Linked DNA regions of Drosophila melanogaster. The protein of the gene in region 1 interacts with the protein of each later gene in a pairwise test. Each region holds a gene or a part of one and is shown on either strand. Other genes may lie near its edges.

Region 1 (7,674 bases):
TCCGATGAAATGGAATTTGGTTTTTGAAGTCTGTAATGAATTGGATAAGGTTATAAGAGCTTTTCATGAATGTTAGTATTATGTATATCTAGTCGTACCTTGTGACAATCGTTGCAGAATATGTGCACTCGCTGATTCTCGTACTTCAGTGGCACCGGCATGCGCTCCGCCTGGTCGTCCAAGTATACCCACAGCGCCGTCATATCGATCAGCGAGGTCTGGCAGGTGGGACAGGTGTAGTGGCCGGAGGCCAGCAGCTGGTCGAAGCACATCTTGTGCAGCAGGTGTCCGCAGTCGGGAATGTGGCAGGGTATGCGCGAAGTGTGGATGTCGCCCAGGCACACGGGGCAGTGCGATCGCGAGATGTTCTCCACGCACTACGGGAAAATAGACACGTTGTCAATTAGCAAGGATTTAGCAATCAGCCATGCCAGTCTCTGGCCCAATTCGCTGTCAATTAATGAAGTCATTGCTTCAGCACATTTGACATTCATATCCACTCAACTGGATCCCAGATTGCAGATCGCAGATCATATATCGCTACATATAGCAATTAGGCAACCGGTTTTGGTAATGAATTGACAAAAAAAAAAAAAAGTTAATGTGTTTCTTTGATTTGCTTTCGAATCGCGGAGGTCAGCATTCCCACTTACAGGCCAAATCTTAATCAAGCCCAATGAAGTGCCAAATGTAGTACCAACTCACCCGGTGGCCATCGATCTTCAGCTGAATAGGTAGGCACATGTTGCACACCTCGCAGTGGAAGAAGTTCTCCGCACCGCCAATGCGACAAATCCCACATCCATGACAATGGTACTGCTGCTTGTCCGCATCATCGAAGAGGTTGCAGATCAGGCAGGTGTACTGTAAGTACATCAAAATGATATTACTAGTAGGGTTTTGCTGTGATTTTTGGACACCTGGATGGATATCTTACCTTACCAAATCTCACGCCGCAATTGAGGCACTGCTCCCGCACCGTTTGCCGCGTATTGCACTCGGAGCATATTAGTTCGGTGAGCGTTTTGCGATCGAAGTGATGCGTCTCGTTCTCGTCGTGGCAAAATCGGCACTTGTAGAACTTGTTGCAGCAGGGGGTCTGAGAAAGATATAGTTGCGTGATCAGTATCAGATCAAATTAGTGCTGAAAAGAAATCGCTGCTCGAAAAAATTCCACTTTAAATGGAGCTGAGATTGCTCCCCGCCACACCTGCCGATGGACTACACCCCTCAGTCAAGGACTACGAAAAACCTATTATCGAGCGGCAATTAGCACGACTCCTAACTCCCCAAATGGAGTTGCTAATTTAAGAAATCTGCCTGGAAACCGACTAAAAAACAAATCTACTAGTGACGTCTACATGCCAAAGGCAATAACTTAGCATTATCATAAACAAGGCACTTGAAACTGAATCGAATTTTGTACGAATTTCGAGTCAAATCAGCGGGTGAATCCCAATCCGATTGTAAAGATGCCAAAGGTACTCGTGTCGTTTAATTAGGTGGCTGCTAATTAGTTCACCTGTCGATGCACAGCTCGAACTACATGATATAGTTCTATCAGTTTTGTCTTGGGGATAAAGTTTGAAAATAAGTTAATTTATGCCCTTAATTATCTTGTGTATCCTCGAGTTCGGCTTAGTTACAGCCAACACCCAGCCATTTGTATCTGCCTCCAGCCTCGCGCACACATCTATCTCCACTATCTTTGAGAATTATTTATAACTTAACAACAGTTTTTTCGTATACAAGTATTTATTTCAACTCTGCTGCTGCTGCGATGATAACACTCGAAGTACAGAACCGAACCGGAGAAGAGTCTTCGAATCCGGTTTCTTTGTCATTCCCCCCGGCTTTCATTGCTGTGCTTCACTAACGATCGTATTTTAATGATCGTTTGCATCTGCAATTGGCTAACTCCAGACATCTCAAATTTATTTAGCCAAGACGAAACAAAGCTTCTAACACAAATTGATACAAGATTCGCGGGAACAGGCGATATCCATGGGGCATTGCTCCACTTGGGGGATTGCACATACTGCTCTCAGCTTATGTCCACATTCATGTATACATTTATTTCACGCACTGTCGGGCGAAAATAAATATTTGACTATAAAATAACCCAGCTGATTCAACACTCAATGGGCACCTCATTAGTGCACAAAACCCTCGCTTATCCGAATTTCTCGCGGTGCACAGACGAAAGCAAAAACCTCTACATTCGAATTTTATTAAAATGTGGGACAGATTGAAGCGTGTGTACGGATTTACGTGACATTTTTTGGAAAGTATTGTAAGGCCATAGCGCATAATACAGAATTTTTGGGGAATTAATAATTCATATCGCGAATTGGCTGCTTTTCAACAACAAATAAGCGCTCACTACTGTTGGAATTATAAGTATTTAAATATTTACATTTAACTTTCTTTTTCTTTATTTAATAATCCAGGTCATTCACAAACAAATCTATCTAATCAAGTGCAGCTGCAGTCTTCTCTGCATGAGATACTTTATACATGAAATGGTTACCACTTTCCCCAGCACTGAGTTACTTTTCCCACCTTCGAACTTCTGTACTTATCACCTTACGATAATTATGTCTGCTGGCTCTACTAATTGTTAAGGTAAAGAACCTGAATATAGCCGTGCTACGATTGCTTTATATGCACACACAACATTTTTAGATGCCCCATAATTTGTTATCCAAACGCGAGCGATCAAGACAAACGCATTGTTTGCCCAGATGAATGGCGAATGGAGGTGTTAACTGGCCAGTGGCCACTCGCCTCCTGCTCAGTTCCTGCTCAGCGGAGCATGCTGACCAGTTAGTTTTTTGGATGCCGGACATCGTCAAGCTGTCCACACAAGCCAAACACTTGCCGTGCAAATAGCGATGCCCTCCAATTGAATTCAAAATCTAGTCAGCAGACAGACACAAAAGAATCTTCGCCAAAGGTGTCTGTTTAGAGTTTAGCCACTTTATTTGTTTAGGAACGAATAAATAAAGGTTAAATGCGCCCATTTTCAGGAAGGTAGCTGTGTTGGATAGACACACACACACACATAGATAGATAGATGGATAAATAGGCATACAAATGCCATTTAGAGGCGCCATCATAATCTTCTTGAAAATTTTCCAAATGGGTGAAATGTTTAATGGCTTTATCACTTTGAATTTATTTCAATGTATTTTTAGGATTCATTTTATAAAAGTGAAATGACTGATCCGCTTTCTAATCATGACATAGGGGTTCCAATTGCATAATTCTTTATCTGATGACCCAGGAATTGAACTATACCCGTATAAAATAAAAAAAGAACTTTCAAAATTGAAGTTTGTTCTTATATCACATAAGTTGACTGGTTTCACATTTGAGGTTTGAATAAACTAATCTCACTACAAGTAAGACTGCTAGATACATGGATCCGTCTAGTCTTTCTACGAACATCTATCTACTAATCTTAAGAATGGTTATAGATACTACGATACACTAAAAAAGGATTAAAATTTGTATTGATATACATATCAAAGAAGTTCAAGTGTATAACTTTTATAACTTTTCTGGGGCTTTTCCTTTTATGTAATGCTTGGAAAAGCATCCATAGATAATATGAATGGAGTTGGACTGCCTGTTGCACTTACCACGAACATGGCCCGCCGCTTGTAGTGAGCGCATCCGAAGCGCAATGACTCCGGAGTTGTTGGCTGCGCACCGCAGATGTTGCTGCTGCACTTGTTGCTGTTGCAGCTGCCGTCGCTGCTGCTGCTGCTGCTGTTGCACGATGGCTGTGCATGCTGCTGAGCCTCCGCGGCGGGGTTACGTGAGCATGCTGCAAAGCGATGGAGCTGGTCCTCCTCCATGGGCTCCGCCATGCCATCGCAATTGAGACTCGGCGTCGATTTGCATCTTCGCAGCTTGGCGTGCGCTGGATGATACTTGCCCGTCATCGTTGTGGGCGTCACAATCAGCTGGTGTTGCTGGTGGAGATGGGGATTGGGATGGGGATGGGGATGGGTATGTGGCTGCTGCGCTATCTGAGCAAGTGGAAGCGAAGCGGGCAGAGCAGCCTCCGCTGAGGTCGTCGTGGCTGACGATGAATTTAAATTGACTTGATTGGGCTCCTTTGTATTGGTAACTATTTGTACATCGATGCCGCCGCTGCCCATGTATCTGTTGTGGTTTTCATTTAGCGATATTCGGCGCGTTCGCTGGCGGTTCTTCATTTTGCTGCAGGAGCTAACTCTATGTATATATAGAGTTATGTATGTACGTCTATAAAAGTGATTTTCCACTATGCCTCGCAGCTGCAGTAGTCGTGGTTAATTGCTGGCCCTTTCAATTGCCGCCGCGAAGCATTTAAATTACTGGCCGATGCTGTTGTCGTTGTGCCACATGTAGACTTTGTATCCGCACTCAAAAAACCGACTGTCCGGTTTCCCTTTTCACGCGATCGCAACTAACTTTCGTTTGTCCAGCTCATCCTTGGGTATTAATGGGCTCGCACAGGTGACACACTCGGCTGAAGCGATTGAAAAGTGTGGGAAAGTGGTAAGTATTCCATTAGCAGGCCATTTCTCACACTCCGATCGATCAGATTAGAGTCTAAGCCGGGTTAACCCCCCACACCCCCACACAATTTTTGACACACAAATGAAACTACCGAGGCGGCGTATTTGCATTTCAATGTTTCCCAGTCCCCGACTGCGAAAGGCCATCTAAACTAGATAACGACTATCTTGATTTTCACTCCGTTTTCTTAGCCGTCGCGCACTGTACACAACGTACAATGGGGAACAAGAAGTAGTAACTTTATGTAAGAAATTATCAAATAAAAGATCACCTATGATGACTTTCTTCCATTTCTGTATAGTTTTGGATCAGATATGGAAACCTATTAAACCCATATCATTATAAAATGACAATTAACCTGTTAAGAACCCAAATATGTGCATATGAACTACTATCTTGGCCGCTGCTGTTTTTGGATGGGACCTTGTGCCATGTGAGCGGCAGCATATAAATCGCTTGCTTAGCCTGCAGGTCGCCAAAAACGTTCACAGCTCCACGGATTGGGAATCGCAGTGCCTTGGCACACGGTGCGGATGATGAATTAAAATGCGGGCAGGGAGCAGCCAGCCACACACTTGTTAACACAATCGGCGTGCGACTTTCGCTCATCGGTTGGCTGTTGCTGCAAGTCGGTGTTGCACGTAGCAGGTGCACATATTGATGCTGCCAAAGGAGGCATTACCAGCTATATATAAATGTATATATGTACATACTTTTATATATACTTTTATTTGCACAGCGCGGCAAGCTGCAAATTCGTTGCCGAATCTTGTTTGCTCAGATTGTTATTCGCATTTTCTGCGCCGGGGAGCAGGGACCGACAATAAATATTGAAAGTGTGCTAAAATTACAAACGCAAGGCGATTAAGCCAGCCTCGCCGGAAAACCAGTCGGCGAAAAGAACGCAAGTTTGAACTCGATTCAATTCGGTATTCATGTTTACGCACGCACGCACTCACGCACACAGGCACACACTTGCACGCGTCGATCGGGCGGATAAATGCATTAAGTAATGTCACGATCTGGCTAATTGGTTTCTAAAAGTTTCCAATCCACATTCAAACCGCCTTCAAATCGCAGTTTGGGCGTATGTATATATATATACATGTACATATATATGCACATTCATTCATTTACCCAAATCTATATGGTCAAATTTATGTAGAATTTTTAAAATCAATTTCTCGTTTAACGTGTTTCTCGTTTTTGTTTTGTTTCGGCGCTTTTTAAGTTCCCTCTTCTTGACTTTCATCAAGCGCTCATTGTGATATCCACTGAAACTCCGACTTTAATTATGATTTAGCCATTTGTTAATTATACTACACATATGTATGCGTACTTGAAAGTGAAACAACACACACCAGCCGAACGAAGGAGATCGCAGCTCGAAATCGTCAATTGAATTAAAGAGCTACGACAATCTAAATCCGCGTTCCACTCGCGCACCCGGATTCCGCAGACTCGTCCGGCGCGAGTTTCGACTTCCAACTGGCAACGGAAGTTAGCCACTTGTTGCTCCGAGCCACTCTGTCGGAGCTTTTATCCGCTCCGGAGCTTAAAGCTCTCCAGCGGAGCGGTTACAACAAGATTCAGATGCGAAGTCGGGGGATTTATGCACTCGGGTTCATAATTATGGTAATCCTTGTGGACATGTGTCCTTGTTTTCATAATCAGTACACCTATAAGCATTAAAGTGGTAACTTTAAGCAAAAACTTTCTAATTTGCATAGAAATATTCTGATTCTATATATTGACAGGATACACATCTTTCAGGCCAAAAATATGGTTAGCATTTTGCTTATCGCAGATATAGAATACATCAGTTTGATTAAACAGCATTATACTCGATCCGCGATGATCATTAACACCCTCCAATTTATGGCAGCAAGCCTCTGGTTATAAATCATAATCGCCATAGTTTAAATCAGTGACCAGTTATTATAGGTGCATTATACTTTTAACCTATTGATCTTTAAAATCATGTTAATCCATTATTATAGGATCAAAAATGCAGTAGAAAGCCTTAGGTAAAAGTCGTTGTGGTTTTTGTATACTGATAATAATATGGTCATAAATCAAACAGCTAATTGCATTGTGCAATTTATACAGGTATATTTGTGAAGTAATACCGCCTGCGGTTGTTGCTAAAAGATTCAGAGACGAAACTTAAGGATTAATAGCGCTATATATTCTGTTTATATAGGTGTGAGTCTCTGGGCAGCGTGCAGGTATGTCTGGTCTTAAATCAAATCACAGCTAAATGCATGGGCAACGTTATAGCTAATTGCATTGTCAAAGTCATAGCATTCCGTCCTGTCTATGGCGCAATCTCGCCTAGACCTTCTCGATCTGAACGAATCTCTCGCGCTGATACTGGTCACTGTAGCCGGCGATGAACTTGAGCCGGCCCTCGTACTTCAGATTCATAATGGTCTTCACCATCGGCGGGTGGTCGTTGCCCAGTTCCAGCCAGAGCTTGCCACCGGGACGCAGGTGCCGACAAGCCAAGTCGAAAACCAGTCGAGCCACCCTCAATCCATCGGACCCACCGTCCAGGGCATTAAGGTTCTCATACCTGGGGATATAAGATAGTTAGTGCACTGCATCCATCTGGTATAACATCACTTACACCACGACTTCGGGATGCAGAAACTGAAACTCCTCAGTTTTCACATACGGAGGATTGGAGATGATCAAATCGTACTTCTTGTCCTTCAGCGCCTCCGGCAGGTACTTGTCCTCCTCCATGGTGTGGTTGTGTACCTCAAATCGATTCAGCAGCCCCAGCATTTTGGCATTCTCCGCAGCCAGAACGGTTGCCGCCTTGCTACGCTCAATGGCAGTGGCCACCACCTGCGGCAGACTGTGTAGCATGGACAAGGACATGGCGCCCGAGCCGCAGCCCACCTCCAAAAGATCGACGTGCTTTGCGTTCTTGTGATCATCGATCACCAGGCGCATAAACTCCTCCGTTTCGGGGCGTGGAATGAAGACCGACGGCGATGTCTTCAGCGTAATGTCCATGAAGTCCCACTCGCCAATGATGTGCTGCAACGGCATGCGGGCACAACGGGCCTCCAGGAAGCGCTCGAAATCCGCCAG
Region 2 (4,827 bases), 1.5 Mb from region 1:
TTTTCCCTGCTGGCTAAATGGTGCAATTAAAAAATATCAGACAATGTTTACGACTCCACTGGACTTTTGACTTACTTCACATAGCAAACGGTGCCGTCATCGGTGGCACGTTCCTCCCAGCCGGGTGGCAGCTCATCCTCGCTATCTGTGTCGGGTAGGGCTATCATTTCGAATCAATTTAAACTTATTTAAAGCTTTATTTCTAAAGTATACACTTTTTATTGCGAAAAAGAATACAAAATAATTGAAGATATCGATAACATGCGGCTTAAGCGATAACTGCCGACTAAATGAACAGCTGTTCCGTTAAACGAAACATGTTACCCGCTAATAATCAGCATCTCCGTTTAACAGAGCTTTTAACCGCAACCGGTTGATTGGCGGTTGTTTTTTAAATTTAAATGATTTGTAGAAACTTAGCGCCTTGAACATTTGTGGGCATTGTTTAATCTGCCTGCTGTACGGTACATAGGATAATGTGAAAAGATTCAACAGCAACAAAAACCAATACAAATTTTCATAATTTACGTTTTAATTTATTTTTCATCATTGTGAATGATTTATTAGTTTCCTAACTATAAAGTCAACGAACTTAGGTGCTAAAGCTTAATAACTTATGATCCTAGAAACTAAGCGGCCGCCGGGGGCTCATTTATGAGTCCGTAGAAGAGCACCAGTTTCGTGGGATCGTGGCGCACAAGGACCATGAATGGAGTGTCTCCGCGGAAGAGGACATCGGGACCGGATTTCTTGAGGTATGTGACCGAAGACGCCGCCGCCTCCGTGCCCTGCTCGTTGACGGTGAAGTCCACTTTGTGAACAATGTCATCCACCACCAGATCGGAACGTGCTCCACCCGTTCCGGCTCTGCGCTGTGCCTCCAGATTCTGCAGGCTGTTGCCGCCCAGCGCATTCGTCCTCGTGGCCTCGTTGGTGGCGATGAGCGAGAGATCATTCTGCACCGCGCTAAAGATGCCGCCCAGCCCCATTCGCTGCATGACTGTCTTCAAGTTCACCGACTCCGTAAGATGCATCTTTGGGAATGCCACCAGAGCGGCCCGTCTGTACATTCGGCTGATCATGCTCTCGATCTTATCCGCCGTCAGACGTTTCTGCAGTGCCATTAGCTCCCTCACCGACGACTTAAACGGCTGGATGATGTACATGGTGCTCAGATTTCCCCTGTACGGCAGTCCAATGATCTTGCAGCCCAGCTCGTGATCCTCGTGATACGGATATGCACCACCGGTGGCCATCATCTGCACCCTCATCACCGGCTCCGTTCCCTCGCCATTCGGATAGAAGTTATCCGGACGTGTGGCTGACTCTATAAAGTCCGTTTCCCAGAATGCCTTAAAGTACAATGCGTTGGCCAGAATCATCCTGGTGGTCTGCGGAATATCGCTGGCGATGATGTTCTCGATGTGATTCTTTGTGTGCTGCGCCACATAAGCATTGATATTGTATCGTGCTGTCGCCGGACTGCCCTCGAAATCCTGAATCTGCAGATCCGAGGCGTAGACCTCGACGATCACCCGTCTGGAATTGCACAAAAGTGGAGCTCATGAGTAATAAATCAACAAGGCGCAGCTATTAGTATGCCAACAACGTTGTGCAAAGTGGAGCGATAGTATTGGGGAACTGGGGATGGGTTGGAATTGCAATATCTGGTGAGCTAAATAATAACTTGGGAAAGTAGTTTTTTTCCGCTTTTTTTGCAATGTTTGATCAGCTATAATTGAAGAATAAATAAATAATTAAATGTCTTAGTTATGTTTTTAAGTTAATCCATTCTTATCAGTGCTTTTTATTTGCCAAATTTTTGGCAATTCATTGTACCTACTATTTGACCTAAGGTTTCTAATTAAATATTTGATTAACTGATAATTCCAATTCCAATTCCGATTTAATTTTATTCAAGTTCTCTACATAAAAACAATCGCACTAAAAGTTCTTACTAAATTTGTTTGTCAATGGTTCCCATTTATATTCTAAACTTTATACGTACGTACGTACATATATATTTCTCAATGAAAGCTTGGGCTTTAAAGATTCATAAATATAAGTGGAATTACACGCTCATTTCTACACAGAAAAATATATTCTAATATTTTCTCGTTGTATATTATCTTCGAATATAAAATAAATACTTCCTTTTGGAGCACCACCATCAAGAGACACTAAACGCTTGATGATAATGGGTGAGATCATTTTGCTGGTACAATGAACCTGTTTCCCTCACTTGGCATTCAGAAAAGGAGATCACTTTAGCCCGCATGGCCTTCAGTTTTTCACGGTGTAAAACCTCAAGGCGATCGCTAATCGTTTGGCATTTCCCAGCACCCATTCCCAACCAGATATCGCTATAGTTCCAGTTTGCAGCCGGATAATTATCCGCTGCTCGGCTCACCTGTAGTCGGGATTGAGTGTGTAGCCGGTCTGTGTGAACAGTCCATTGGCCAGGTGCACCTCATGAGCACCGGGTCGCTGGGCCCGTCGATTGGATCTCATCGCGCTGCTCGCCCGCCAATCGGTCAGCGGTCGTCCTGCGGAGATCGCCTCCCTGGTGGGCTGTTGCAGATCCTGCAGCATCAGGCCGAACTGTTCGTGCAGCCTGGACGTGTCCGGAATATCGAAGACCGTGGACAACTCCTCGTAACTGCGACCCTTGGCGCCCAGGAGCAGCAGAGCCAGCGAGTGTACAATGCTCAGGGGAGAGTATATCTGGGTTTTACCGTTGGCCAAATGCTGGCCCAGAATGTTGGCAAAGTTCAGCACACTGTTCGCAATCCGATCAGAGGTGGCCAGATCCACATAGCCGTTGGAGTAGGCAGCCGGAAGGTTGGAAGGTTTCACCGAAGTGCCGGATATGCGATTCAACGCAGGGTCATTCTGGTTGCCAAGGCCGTTCACAAGGCCGGGCGATTGAAGGGGCACCGCAGGCGGTATCGCCTGAATGTGCTGCTGCGCCTCCTGTTGCATCTGATGCCGCCGCTGCATCAGTCCATTGATGTAGGCCATCGTTTCCGGGGTCCTCAGGTCATCACGAAATAGTTCCGATTCACAGCACACCGAACTCACGAGCAAAAGTGCCAAAAGCAAGCGCCACATTTTGTAATTTTCTTTTTGTTAATCTCGAACGCAACACACAGAACGAACTTTATATATATATATATATATATATATATTTTTTTTTTTTTTTTTAGAGGCAAACGCGATGTGGCTGTGCGAGTTGTTAAAGCCAGACTGAATGATTGGCGCTGAGCGCGCATCTTTATAAAACTGGAATCGGAAACTTGTTATCAAGCAAAAACGCTCCTTCAAGTCCCCGATCTCTCGCGCTCTGCATCCCCAGCTGCTCTCGGATCTTGGCGAGCTTGGATCTGGGAGAGGTTTCGTCGACGAGTCACTGGTTATACCCCGGCTTTGTTTACATGGCTGACCCGTGTCTGCACTTGTTATTGATCTTCATCGATCGGTACTTTCTCACGTACTCATGTACTGCCCCCCGCCCATTCATATCAGCATTCTGCGAACTTTGTTGCGGAAATCCATGGCAGCCCTCTCCCATCCATTTGTATCTATGCATGTATGTACGTACGTATGTATCTCAAACCCGTGACGTGCATACTGATATTCTCTCGCAACCGGTGAGTAAATAGTTTAAATATTTATTAGCTATATACTATAGTCATTATGTTTGGTGCGTATTCTCGGTCTCGTCATTGGAAAGTTCGCGGCACATTGACACGGTGATGGAGTCGTGGTGGGATTTCCCAGCGCTAGGATAAGATTTGTGCTCATCTGTTGGGCCATCAGAACTAAACAAATATGAGATGGGTTTTATTGGTAATAGATAATGCCGTCGTACAAGCCCGTCGTAAATTATATTTAAGCGTTACTTGCTTTATGAGTTATTTTAGATTCGATGACTCATTTTTGCTTCTGTAATGCCAGTTACCAAAAATAGTTAATGGTAGTTGTGTAAGTTTTTTATCTATCATGTAAGTTATTAACTCTAAGTTAGTTAGTTTCAGCTTCAGTTTATGGTAAACTGATCATAATAAAAACCATCGACCATTAAAGTAAATATTATCCGGAAATTTAACTTGACAATTTAAGCACAAGTTTCATTATAAAAAATATTAAAAATGAAACGTGCAAAGGAAGCGTAAATAACTTCCTTTGAAATCATTAACATTTCAAGATTATATCATTTTATATTCACCAATTTTATCCAATATATTATATTAAATTTACATTACAATCCATCTCAATTTAATTCAAGCTCAAATTCATGGGTGCTCAGCTATAATTGAATGAGCTGATTCACTCTTCTTTATTATTAAAAAACCAATCATTTCCTACACTATATTTATTTTAATAATATTTATGTTAGTTTTTGGCTTCTTCTCAGTTGCTAGGCAGCCCAGTATGTATTGTCTATAGCACGGAAACCCAGTTTCTCGAACATGCTCCTCGAGGGGGTGTTCTTCGTTACTACTGGCGCCAAAACTTGATCTCCCGCTGCGGAAATCTTCTTAGCCATCGACTTCACCAGCAAGCTGCCGAGACCAAGGCGTTTATGTGACTCCAGAACCTGCAGCAGACCCAGGGATCCAATCGGCAATCTAAACAGGAAAGTTAATTAATTAATAAGTTTTTATATACATTTATATACAGTTCGATGGCTTACCGCAGACACCAGGCAACCAACTTTCCCTTGTCGTCATAAGCACCCAAATTAATATTATATTTAATTAAACTTCTCACAAAGTCTATAGAGCCGGGTTTATTATGTGGCCAGTTTTCATTGATGATTTCGGC
Region 3 (3,792 bases), on another chromosome or scaffold:
AGGTGGACTTTGAAGAGGCGCGCCAGATGTGTCAATATATACCTGAGATCCTGTTCGTGATGGAGACCTCCGCCAAGGAGAACATGAACGTGGAGGACGCCTTCCGCTGCCTGGCCAACGAACTTAAAGTACGATTCCGGCTATTGTTACCTAAGCTAATGATGTTCCAATTACAGCGCCAACACGATGCCAACAATGTGGAGGAGGTGCCAGAAAACACCATCACCTTGGGCCAGGGAAAGCCTTTAAAGAGTTGCAGCAGCTCATGCAATCTCACCTAGACCTAAATCCGCTCTTTAGTTTGCTTTTACTTTTGTGATCAAATTGTTCTTGTGGCTATATATTAGTATTCTAATGCTTTAACCTAATCCTAGACACTAACTTTTACACAACCATGTATTTATTTTTGACGATAGAGTACAAACAATCTCACACATCAGCGAATCGAGCCAACAATGTCAATTACAAGGCAATGCTCAGAGAGGCAAATACGTCCACTTCTCTATTTGTAATTTGTATTCAATTTGATATGCGACAGTGTCGAAATAAACTCGTTTATTTTGTAATTTTATTGGAAGTATCGTAGTTAAATTGGCTTAGCTCCTAGACATTATCCATATACACGTAGATTTAAATCATCGAGGGACTCCTGTTCGGACGTATTTTACACTAAATAAAATTGGCTTGGCAACAACTTTTCAAACAATTTGGAAACGCTTAAAAATTGTTTATATCAAAATTGGTTTACTTTCTCTAGACAGCTAGTCGTTAATGATTAATTAGCTAATATGTAGCATGTGTGGCGGGTCATTTGTTCTTGATGCGCTGCACGATCCACTCTAATCCTTGATAGAGTCCTTCGCCGGTGAGCGCACAGCAGGCCTGGATGTGCCATTGGTGCTTCTTGATGGAGGTGAGGTCCAGTTGTCGTGAGATTTCCGCCGCCGACATAGAGCCCTTGAGATCCTGCTTATTGGCATAGACCAGCAAACTGGCCTTGCTCAGATCCTCATGTTGCAGCATCCGGTAGAGCTCTTCCCGCGTAACAGCTAACCGTTCCCGGTCCGTGGAGTCGATGACCATGATCACCAGCTCTGTGTTCGTGTAGTAGGTGCTCCAAGCGGCGCGCAGACTCTGCTGACCACCAAGATCCCAGACAAGAAAGTGTATATTCCGCCAGACGACCTCCTCCACGTTGGAACCGATCGTGGGACTTGTGTGGACCACTTCGTTCATCAGGAACTGGTACAGGATGGTGGTTTTGCCCGCGTTGTCCAGACCCACCATCACCAGCTTGTGCTCCTCGTTGCCAAACATCCGCCAGAGCCGCGATAATAACAGTCCCATATTTGAACCTTATTTTTAGCTATATACGTATATAATCAATTGTTGATTATGCTGCAGCTGCTGTTATTGTTGTTGCTGCTTCCACCGATTAGAGATTTGATTTCGAACGATGACGGCGATTGCCTCACACACAGGTTATCGGCTGGCCTGCGTGTGTATGCGTGGTAGACCCGTGTGTGTGGGTGTAAGTGAACGCTGAGCTTTGTTGTTGTTTCCGCAGGGGAAGGCGAAGGCCGTACGGTAAATTATTCACTGATTTAACTATTCAGCTATTCACTCCACACTCTCACACCCTAATTACTGTTGTTGTTTTCGCCAAATGGGAATTTTTTTGGGGGGATTGGTGAGCGATTTTCAGGTGGTTTGCCTTTGGGTGGTTTCCATTCGTTTCGTTGCAGCGGGAAACGCTACTTCGTTTACGCGTCGCAGTGGGTTTAGAACAGCCGTTGTTGATAATTTAATTAACAGAGTTTTAATTAAGAAAGTAAACAGCAGAAGTGATTAATTAATATCACTTGGAATCGATAGTGCTGCTATCGATAACTGCGGGCAGTGTGGGGAAGAAAGTAAAGCTTAATGAGACCGTAACCATTTAGTGCTTAACAACGTTTCTTTTGCATTTCCAAAACAAGTTATTTTTGAATATTGAACCTATTTAAAGAATTATTTTCAAATTTAAAATTTAGATTTAGTCATTACTTATAAATTATTATTATTAACAACACTACCGACGTTACCAGTGTGGCCATCCTCGCGGCAAACATCTGTTCACGGCGGTTGCTGTTGTGTTGTTCTTAACATCTAATTAGCTTCCCACCGGTTGCAATGAAAATAATTTTGAGCCTGCTGCTCCTGGCTCTCTCTATCGCTCAGTTGGACGCCTCAAGGTCAGCCACATCCGACCAGGCTCCCATTGTCGAGTGTCCCGGACGCAGTGTTCCCCAGCTCCGTGCGGAAGCGTCAGAGTCAGAGATCTCGCTGCTATTTTACTACGTGTCCTGGGCCAGCGAAGCACGGCAGGCACGACTGGTCTACAATGGACTGGCCCACTATTACCAGGAGTATGGCTTCTTTGGAGCCATCGATTGCTGGCACTTGCAGTGCAATTGCAGCCGTACTTTGATGCCGGCACCAGGAGTCGCCGGCGCAGGAGGTTATCCTGACAAATGGCCCACGCTGATCGTGCGCTACGGCCAAAAGCAGTTACTCCAGTACCAGGGCTCGTGGAGCTTTGAAGATCTCGCCCGGTTCATGAATAACCTGCTTCAGCCACTGGACCGGGCACACAGTAGTCAGGATCTCGCCGCCATTCGGAAGCACTCGGATGCGGTGGTTTTGGGTCTGCTTGACTCGCCAGACGACAAGGCCTACAATCTTTACTTGGCTGCCGGTCTGCGCTGGCTGGAACTGGATCCGGAGAGGAATATCCGCTTCACCGTGTACTTTGGCAACAGTGCCAGGAAGATGTTGAAGTCCTCGGAGGCCAAGCTGCCCCAGTTTGTAGTTATCGACAGCCGAAATGGAGTTCATACGTTTAATGGTACATCTGGAGTATGGAAGACCATCGACATTCTGCGCTGGGTACGGAGCACACTCAAAAATATGTCGCTGTTCTCCAATGGCTATGGCACTCCTATGACCATCGCCATGAAGGCACGACATGTCCCCGTGCTGGCTATGGGAGTTCGAATGAACCAATATCACCATGCTAGCGTCATGGGCGAGGAGATGGCTTACGCTCAAAAAAAGCAGTCGGAGGGGTGCGAAGACTACTGGAAAAAATTCGATAAACAATCTGAAGACATATCCTCCTCCCTAAATCAAGTTCCCAAGGAGCTGTTTGGGGATGGTGAACAAACCCGGACATGTTACCCGGCCTGGAGTAAAAACAAGACCACACTTAAGAACTATTATCGGATTAATAGGTATCTAAACCACCTATGGAGGCAGTACTCGCACCAGAACCATCCGAGTTATCGAAACGTCCCCCACTTGCTGCGGCTTCACTCCAGAAACCTTTGCCTGGCACACTCACAGCATGGAACGCCGGCCATAAAAATCGGCATTGCCAAAATGGTAACCAAATATGGCCAGCTCATTTGGCAGCACTCGACGGAGCGCGCAGCCCACAATCGGTCGCTGGGCGTGGTGATCTTCGATTCTGTGAAATATAGAGACTATCTACACCAGCTTGGCATTCAGCAAACCCATCAGCAGGTGCAGGTTTTCATCTTGGATGCGGCTGAAGAGTCACTGTATGTTATGCCACAGCAACACACATTCTCCTACGTAGCTCTTAAAGATTTTATACGGCAGTTTTACGCCAGAACATTGCCAAGGACTCACAAAAATGCTCTTGCCATGATGGAATCTGGGTTCAGTAGAAAATACAATAGACAGATGCTGTTGCAGGCAATCCAGCGACCAAATGTCACCAATGTGGTA
Region 4 (2,627 bases), on another chromosome or scaffold:
GCATACGAAGTGTGTAAGTAGTATCACTTGTTAACGAAGTTATTTTGTTATACTAAGCTATCCTCTGCAGAACAAGATCCCCCATACTTATTACTTGCATATTGTGGGTCACGCGAACTGTGTCCTTTTGGCCATCTTGTGTTTGGGTGCAACGGCTCTTAAATACCGTAGTGCCTATCTATTTCTGATCTCTCTCATTTTCTACGTTGCTGCTCTGATCATTAACCTACTGACCCGTCTCCATTGTCGCGGTAAGTTAGCTTATATATTCGTGGAGAACTTTTAATGATTCATGCCAACACTTTAGGTTATCTGTGGTCACTGGTGCTGATTGTTTTCCAGATTATACCCTTCATTTACCACGCCTACTTGTTCCACATGTTCATACTTATTCTCATTCCGATGACTGGTCGCTTTGGCGTCTCCACCAATCCGGATATACTAATCGGCGCTCTATGTGGTTTTGGCACAATTTTGGCGTTATCTTTTGCTGTAAGAAAGTTATTCACATTTATTGACTACTTTACTTAATCAGTTTCACTTAGGCTCCTTTAATCAATGTCTTTCGGCGACCGAACTGCATGCTGGGTGGTCTGGCACTGGTTATGTTTATTTTCTGCATGATTGCCGTCTCGGATGTCGGATTCCCGTATCGGCCCAAAACAAATGTCATGCGTGCCGACTTCATGGTAAGGGAAACACTAATAAGCATCCTTTGAAAGACGACTAAGTTCTATTCTTTGTCGGAGCAGCAAGTGCATCGCAAATTTTTCGAGTACAATGGTTCCATCAGCCACGAGGATTCTGGCTACTACTTCCATCTGGGGGATCGAAACAAAGAGGCACCTCTGCGCGATCACATGAACCTGACCAACCTGGTACGCCTGGGCGAGGATTGCGACTCCGAGCTGATGTGCGGTATTCCCTGCTACCGATATTGTAGTGCCCGGGAGCATGCACTTTGGCTTGCTCGAGAGGAGCCCGTGGAACTGCCTTATCCAACGGTCTTGGAGTTCCTTAGCAAGACAGTTCTGTCCGGTGGCTATCAGGTGCGCTATGAGTTCCGGCTAACTGGTCCGCCAAATATGGGTCTGTTCTTCAAGCCACTGGATGGTGTAAAACTACTCCGATGGACGTTTGCTCCCGCAATGCTGGATAATCCGGCCACTTACAGGCCTCCTCTGGAGGTCATGTTAACCTACGGTATTGATAACACTCCCATCGAATTCTTCGTGGAACTTTCTGTGCGTATTTAATGGGTCGTTCTGATAACTATACTAACTAACTGATTCTTAGAAGGACGATGGCAACTTCAATGAACCCGTCTTTGAGATGGGCGTCTCTGGACACTATGTCAGTCCACATGATAAGCGGGATGCGTTGAGCCTGGAGTTCCTTGCCACACTTCCGGACTTTGCCTTCTCGATGGAGTGGCCCAGTAGCTACGAACGGCATATATTCTAGGATAGTTAGCTAATAAGAATACCAAGTCATTGACACTCCCAACCCGAAAAACTTTTATTTTTCGGAAAATGGAAGGGGATCAAACATTGGATGCATTTCACAATGAGTTGGTCGGTAAACATTGGTGGGGGAAAGCTAGCAATGTAGCAAACGGTAAAGGAACCATTTGTGCAAACATTACAGGGAATACTACGACTGCCGCAGTCAAAATATGGGTATAAATAGTGAGGCCTGGACCAGCGAAAGACACACTCAGAGTTCAGCAGCTCGTCCGTCGATAAGCAACAGCCAGCCAGCAATCCTAAAAGCCCAAAAAATCCAATCAACATGAAGTTCTTCGCTGTCCTCGTCTGTTTCTCCGCTGTCCTGGCCATCGCAATGGCATCTACCGCAACTACAACCAGCACTCCCACAACGCCCTCTTCGCCCACGACGACGACGTACACCTATACTACCACCCCGACCTACCCCACCTACACCTACACCACGGACACCACCACCACTAAGCCAATCAAGCAACAGCTCCTGTCCCTGCTGTTCAACAAGAAGTCCGGATAGAGCCGCCCATCCGATCCACGATGCTGCCACTTGATACGATCCTCATCACCTGAATAGCCAAATAAAAACACCAAATACCAAAAAACAAACAAGCGCCGTCTCTTGCTCTCACACAATACCGCAATCGAAGTTAACCATCTCACGTAGCATTGGGCGGTGGGACATTTGGGGCTTTACTTCCACCTCCACCTCCATTTCTACTTCGGCGGTAACTGACATTTGCTCAACTGGCAACGGAACGCCCCGGCTCAGGCATTACCGCCTTTTGGCCGGACCTGTTCAAGAAACATCTGTTCGGCTGCCGCAAAGGTCAAGCGGCACTTGCCACATTCAGTTAGCTGGTGAGTAAGTCAGTTGGCCAGCCAGACATGATCATGGTCAGGTGGCAGTCATAATCCCGCCAATGATGATCATCAAGCCGTTGAGTCAAATGTCTAATGACTGCACTGACAAATTGATGTAGGAATGCAGCAGTCTGTCCCTATTCCTCTCACGCTGCCGAGGATGAGTTATGAATGTCAAGCTGGTCATGTTCAACACGATCCGAGATGATCATAGTGCCTCCAACGCCCCTCGCAATACAGGTGCACAGTGGGCGATGGCTA

The links.
Region 2: the proteins of Rchy1 (region 1) and Spn28Dc interact in a two-hybrid assay, tested with the Drosophila melanogaster proteins (one large-scale study listed by BioGRID).
Region 3: the proteins of Rchy1 (region 1) and Arl5 interact in a two-hybrid assay, tested with the Drosophila melanogaster proteins (one large-scale study listed by BioGRID).
Region 4: the proteins of Rchy1 (region 1) and CG13159 interact in a two-hybrid assay, tested with the Drosophila melanogaster proteins (one large-scale study listed by BioGRID).

What each region holds. Positions count from the first base shown.
Region 1 is NT_033779.5:6,459,618-6,467,291, forward strand, and holds the start of Rchy1 (ring finger and CHY zinc finger domain containing 1), read right to left. Parts: upstream 6,053-7,674; 5' UTR 5,912-6,052; intron 4,523-5,911; 5' UTR 4,227-4,522; coding exon 3,645-4,226; intron 1,100-3,644; coding exon 938-1,099; intron 865-937; coding exon 706-864; intron 378-705; coding exon 99-377; intron 31-98; coding exon 1-30. Other genes in the region: HemK1 (HemK methyltransferase 1), read right to left, coding at 6,907-7,147, 7,202-7,674.
Region 2 is NT_033779.5:8,004,022-8,008,848, forward strand, and holds Spn28Dc (serpin 28Dc), read right to left. Parts: upstream 3,190-4,827; 5' UTR 3,112-3,189; coding exon 2,411-3,111; intron 1,540-2,410; coding exon 630-1,539; 3' UTR 527-629; downstream 1-526. Other genes in the region: Wwox (WW domain containing oxidoreductase), read right to left, coding at 1-13, 76-167; CG12560 (uncharacterized protein), read right to left, coding at 4,421-4,631, 4,697-4,827. UniProt on the Drosophila melanogaster protein: Serine protease inhibitor which is required for pupal viability and plays an essential role in regulating the melanization reaction.
Region 3 is NT_037436.4:8,297,944-8,301,735, forward strand, and holds Arl5 (ADP-ribosylation factor-like 5), read right to left. Parts: upstream 1,897-3,792; 5' UTR 1,348-1,896; coding exon 808-1,347; 3' UTR 558-807; downstream 1-557. Other genes in the region: Rab19, read left to right, coding at 1-128, 177-281; CG13671 (uncharacterized protein), read left to right, coding at 2,173-3,792.
Region 4 is NT_033778.4:12,373,578-12,376,204, forward strand, and holds CG13159 (uncharacterized protein), read left to right. Parts: upstream 1-1,708; 5' UTR 1,709-1,791; coding exon 1,792-2,022; 3' UTR 2,023-2,101; downstream 2,102-2,627. Other genes in the region: CG13160 (uncharacterized protein), read left to right, coding at 1-13, 71-251, 308-492, 546-689, 753-1,244, 1,297-1,464.